2 linked regions of the Yarrowia lipolytica genome follow. The protein of the gene in region 1 interacts with the protein of each later gene in a biochemical or structural test. Links are inferred from orthologs where the notes say so. Each region holds a gene or a part of one and is shown in the gene's direction. Other genes may lie near its edges.

Region 1 (3,158 bases):
CGGATACAGATGCACAATTGTCAGTCTACTTGCCTTTCTCGTACAGTTCGTACTCGTACCTGACCGGACATGCACGGTTGTGGCGCCTTCTCACATACAAGGAACCACCGTATAGGGGGTCCATAAGCGACCCCTTCTCGTACCCAACTTGACCCTGCGTTCCCGTCGCATTTGCAGCCCGTATACATAGCTCCACGAAAACCAAACGGCTTTTGTCCTTGTCGCGCGTACAACTCCAGTTTCCGGCGTCTGCAGGTGTCGGCGCGCTTCCTGGAGGCATAGATGGCCGGAAAAAGAGCGCGCAGAGCTCACTGAGCAAATCCCGCAACTCTCAAAGCGGCTGCCATGTCTATGTGCCAAGGAGCGAGTCCCGGCTGCGTTTCTTTTGTGTCCAACCGGAATCTCCGAATCCACTCCGACTACCTGCGTCTGTCGAGTATAGGGCAAACGAAGCGGCTAAACGGTTTTCTGCCTTGTTGCTTCAAGTGTGTCTGTCGTCCAGCGGGATTTTGGTCACGCGCACAAGGTCTCGTGACCCCTTAAGACAGTTGTGGGCCTTCAGATACCGCTATGAAATGTTGTAGAAGACTGCATATACTGGGCATGATGATTGGCTGGATGAAAAGAGATCTGGAACTGTCATGCAGGTCCAAAGCAGATCGAAAAGAAAAAAAAAATTGAACAAATGAACTCTCTTTGCTTTATAATGTCTGTCTTGGTACTGTGAGCTCTCCTGTATGTGCTGTACATTTCTCCTCATCGTAGATTTCGCTCAGCCGTTAGTCCATGGTGACCATGTTCGGTTAACTAATGGTGTAAGTAAAGTTGTTTAATTACTTAGGTGAATTCAACTAAATATATATTGGCGAAACTGCACTCAAATTGTCCAAATTGAGAAAATGGAGTTTCATACACCGTGGGACCCGCTATGGAGCGCATCTTATGGCTCTCGGCCTTCTTATTATCACCCTCAAAAATCCTGAAAATCAGCCCGCGTAGGAATCGAACTGAGCCCTAGCCCCGCACACCGCTATCACGCACTATCCACTATCACGCATACTGTATTCTAGCCCCCGCCACGACATCATGGAAGCGAGCGAACTATACAAGAGCTACGAGACGGACTTTCTGCTGGCGCAATCCGAGATTGAGCAGAAGCTCGAGAGCATTTCGACGCTCGAGCGAGGTGAGTATGGGCGAGCCAAGGGCGCAACCTCGACAATGACGTGGTATTTGATCGACAAGGAATGACATGAACAAGTGGCATTCGCAATGTTTTCGACTGCTGATATCTGGCAGGTGACGTATTCTACCACGAGATTGCTGTTTGGCAGTCGTCGACAGATGCTGCCCAGCGGTGCATCTTTCACTATTGGTGACAAGAAACGCTGATTGAACGGCTATAGCCCTTTGGAATTCGGGTATTCTGTTATTCACGACTGTGAAATACCAGACAGTGAATCATGGTCCTGTCACCATCAACTTTTTCCTGCAGGCGCTCGATTGAACTTCAACCACTCCTGAAGAAGTTCATGGGGGACACAAGTAATTGCTTTCTGTTACTCCAGTGATACGGTCCGTTCTCATGTCTACACGGGTCTTAACTTGTCAATTTCCAGTACTAACACAGACGCCCGAACATCTGCCGTCAAGGCCGTTGAGCGAACCATTGGCGAGGCCTACGAAATTGTGAGTATCGAAGGGGGATATTTGGTCGATACAAACGACATACTGGTTAAAAATGGATCTGGTTTTTTGGACCGGTCTATTTAACAGTCTTAATGATCCGGCTGGACTACAGACACGACGCCCAACAATCTCCTCATCCCTACTAACTCAGCTTGACCAACTCTCGGTTGAAATCCAAAACATCCCCTCGTCTGCGCGAGCACCTTTGTCTGCCAACCTGCGACAGTATCGACAGTCAATCCAGTCTGCTAAGAAGCAGCTTGCCAACGTGGAGCAGGCTGGCGCTCGAAATGAGCTCTTTGGAGACAGATCGGCGGCCGGCGACGGCGACATTGCTCTCGACCAGCGACAGCAGCTTCTGTCTGGCCAGGAGTCCCTCGACCGAAGCTCGCAGCGAATCAGAGACTCGCAACGAGTGGCCAACGAAACTGAGTCCATTGGAGCCAACATTCTGACCGACCTGCGGGGCCAGCGGGAACAGATTCAAAACTCGAGAAACACATTGCTGGAGGCAGATGGCTACGTGGACAAGAGTATTCGGACTCTGCGGTCCATGACCCGTAGGATGGCTATGAACAAGGTGTTGACCTACCTGATCATTGCTGTGTTGGTGATTCTCATTCTGCTGGTTCTAGCCAGCAAGTTTTGGTAGACGGTAAATGACGTAATGTTGACTATAATTATTAATGAAAGGGTGTATCCAATGCAAGTTGGTGATGGTAGTGCGTTCTATGGCGGGTAGGAAGTGGAGAAGAACGGATACTGGTAGCTCTTCCAAGACGTAGAGTCAAGCAAACGCCAGTCTCGCTTCATTGACACTCACTCTGAGTAACCCTGATACTTGTACAGTTGCTGGCTTCTAAATCTTTCGAGAATGGTGGTTCCATACATGCTCTTGCTCTAGACCTTGCAGCAACAGTAAGAAGTTGGCTACAGTACTGCAGATAACACGTTCGAGACTTGGCAGTTGTTCGCGACTTTGTCGTCTAATGAATATTTGCTCTAGTATTGACACTTGCGCTATTCCGTCTTGGTCTAAATTAATGTGTATTTGAAATAGGACCTAATGAACAGCATGGAGCGGTCTAAAACCAAGCTAAGGACCATTGTTAGGAGATTGGAAAGTTGACTAAGGGGGAATAAGAGGTCCAATGACTTATGAGAGGTGTTTTCTTTCTTTACAAACAACCAATTGTGTGAGTTGTTGTGTCTGCACAGGCTGGCCAGTGGCGTGTCTCAGACAATCAGACAACCATAATCAAAGGCATGTTGGTTCAAACCTACGACTTTTAGTCAATACTGTAAATAAGCAAACAAATAAACAGCGGTGCTATGTGGACTGGGTTATACTGGTTATTGTTTGGCTGGTGATGTCAACGCAAGTAAGGACTTGAGCTTGTGGTGTGGAATATACAAGTATGTACTGTACTTGTTTTTCCATAACCGTCCCACAACAGCCAGAGTCGGTA
Region 2 (2,866 bases), on another chromosome or scaffold:
TCACGTTTTTAGTTGACTGTTTACTTGCATCTCGATTTCATACTTGGGAGTCGATGCTCTGGTTGTAAGGGTAGCTGTGTTATGCACTGTGGGTACGTATCTATACCGTGCGCTGTGGACATATGGAACTTGAACACTCCATAGAGCTCTTATCAGAGCCCCTGCTTTGCACTAAAAGTCCGTAGTACTTTCTATCTTCACATCCATTTTTTCCATCCAATCATACTTGTCATTCGTCTGGCATCTCTATGGCTTGGCAAAAGTATCCAAGCACCATATTGGCTACCGGCGGCTACCCTTAAAAAAGGCGCCGAAAGCTCAAGATCCGCCTCCACTCTCATAGACACAGTCTTGGGCAGCGGCATGAGGCTGGGTTTCAATGAATACGTTGCCACTGTCCTCAAACTATCAAACTATCGGCACAATAGGCTGAGTGACTGCATGTGTTATGGTGTTGTGCTGATAACCAGAAGCGGATGTGGACAAATTATTTAAACAAGAGTCCGTGGCAGTACAAGTACGAACGAGTATCGTAGTACTGGGCCCGTTCTATTGGGATTTTGTAGGGTGGAGTGTACCGCTTACTACAATTGTAGCTATTGCAAGCTTAACCAGCACCCGCAAATGTTCATCGCCCCGATTGGCATCGTTTGTACAGTAAATAGCTGGCGGTGTACTCTGCCACACATGGTACAGCCCATACATGAGGTATGTACAGCCATGTACGAGTGCAGAAAATGTGCCGAAGTTGTTGGAAATTACACACTGTGGCGGTTCCACTTAAATCTACGCTACTTGTAGGTATATAGCTAATGATATACCTCATTCCTATCCTCATTCCTCTACAGTAAAACATTATCTCCCCCTTCATTCTCCCAAGTAGTGCGAATCACCTCAACTCCTCTGGTTGTAACTCCGTGTTATGATTTTGGGACTTGCACAGAGAAGACGTACGTGTTGAAATAATGACGTAGAAGGGAAAGTGTGGTAGAGAAAGGAGATACAGCCAGGGACGAGAGAACGGAAACCTGCAAAAAAAAAACACCCGGACCCGTAGCTCCACTGTTGCCACTTACACAGCCCTGACATATCCTTGTAACACACTTTTCAACCCGTCACGTGCAAATTCAAATGCCGCTAGCTAAAAATAACCTTGTTGTGTGAAACCTCACAAAAATACCCAGTCCTGCAGTTGGCTACATTATTCTCAACTCCTCACAGTCGTCACACATCCCCGACTTCCGACATGTCCTCTTCTGTCCCATACGACCCCTACATTCCCGGTGGCGAGTCCAACGCCCCCGGCGGTAACCACAAGACCGCCGCCATCCAGGCAGTGAGTATGAATTCGTGGCACTTTCACGAGAATTAAGGAGACATAACGTCAGACACAAAAACGAGATACCAGCAGCTCAGAGGATGGTAAAGGCACGGTGGCCAGTTGGAGGCATCAGAAGAGTCGGTTGTTTGTTGCGTGACCAGTTTGTGCAATCAGGTGATCGTTTGTCTATATGGCTCACCGTCTGATTATGACGGATGCCTGCCCAACTGTATCACACACTGTCACGACTTCCACAACAAGCACGACTACACACTCAACAGAGCTGAAGGTTTCACTTGTGAGACGCCAGCTGTTGAGCGGCGTTCTTGGACCGTTTCACCGTTAAGATCTCTTTATCATCGTGTCATGTGACTGGTATCACCATGAGTTATCGACCGCATTTCCCTGGCCGTGTTTCTTAATATCCCCGAAACACCACATCTGACAAATTCTAACCCAGCAAATCGATGATACCGTGGGTATCATGCGAGAGAACATCAACAAAGTCGCCGAGCGAGGTGAGCGACTAGACTCTCTGCAGGACAAGACCGATAACCTGGCAGTCTCTGCACAGGGTTTCCGACGAGGCGCCAACCGAGTGCGGAAGCAAATGTGGTGGAAGGACTTCAAGATGAAGATCTGTCTCATCATTGGTGTTATCATTCTGATTGTCGTCATTGTTGTCCCTATCGCCATCCATTTCTCATAATTTATTAGACCCCCCTTATGGTCTTGGTCTTAATGCCTATGTAATGAATCTGTACTTTTCTTTGGCCAGATGTTTGTGAAATACTTGCACAAGCATCCATCTTACTGACTGGTCCTGTAGCTTTGAAAACATCTTCGTTGGTATAAACGGAGGTGTTGTCTACGAACCATCAGGTAAGAGCTTCATTGGCTACAGCATATACTGTGGTTGTAGATATCCGCATTACACACAGTATATACTGTACTTGTACCTGTGTTCCTGGTGTGAAGTACGAGCTACTACAAGTAGTAACTACAGTAACAATGTATCCGACATGGCAATACTTTGTACATACTCATGCGGACCATATTGTGTTTTAGTATCAACACATCTCTCCATGCAAGATACAGTCACGTCTGTGGTCAGGAATGTGTCTAGAGTGACGATAATTATGTATGAGAGGCGTGCGAGAAACTCCTAATGGTAGTTCTAATAATAAATGCAATCGTATTATCGATTACCAGAAACTTGGTATCTACAAAATTATTCCACGGATCTGGGGAACTGGAGAGAGTTAGTATGGACCGAGAGAGTGGTGATATTCAGGAATACCCGACCCAAGACTGAGGAAGGATAAGACTTTACGACAATTTAAGATAAGGATGGCATGGAAAGTAGCTACCGGAAGGACATGACTACTGTATGGTAATTAGCACACAGTGCCCCACGGAGGTTTGATATCTGTGCTGATTAGTGAGACAGCTTTAGCAGAGGTGAGTAAGGTACAGCAGGCAACGACCTAGCTGAGCCGTTAATGTAAATCATTATCGGTTCTCAGGCGAATCCTACAAGGGAAT

The links.
Region 2: the proteins of YALI1_B03335g (region 1) and YALI1_E00963g form a complex in vitro, tested with the Saccharomyces cerevisiae proteins (3 studies listed by BioGRID). The link is inferred for Yarrowia lipolytica from reciprocal best matches to the Saccharomyces cerevisiae genes VTI1 and SNC2.

What each region holds. Positions count from the first base shown.
Region 1 is NC_090771.1:332,484-335,641, forward strand, and holds YALI1_B03335g (uncharacterized protein), read left to right. Parts: upstream 1-1,086; coding exon 1,087-1,186; intron 1,187-1,630; coding exon 1,631-1,689; intron 1,690-1,840; coding exon 1,841-2,341; downstream 2,342-3,158. Other genes in the region: YALI1_B03324g (uncharacterized protein), read left to right, coding at 1-139, 191-584. UniProt on the Saccharomyces cerevisiae protein: t-SNARE found in various SNARE complexes involved in multiple transport pathways. The composition of the t-SNARE complexes is specific for a limited number of v-SNAREs and therefore allows only the vesicles carrying the matching v-SNARE to fuse.
Region 2 is NC_090774.1:95,118-97,983, forward strand, and holds YALI1_E00963g (uncharacterized protein), read left to right. Parts: upstream 1-1,246; coding exon 1,247-1,336; intron 1,337-1,781; coding exon 1,782-2,030; downstream 2,031-2,866. UniProt on the Saccharomyces cerevisiae protein: SNC1 and SNC2 are vesicle-targeting proteins essential for normal secretory traffic between the Golgi and the plasma membrane. They may also be involved in vesicle fusion.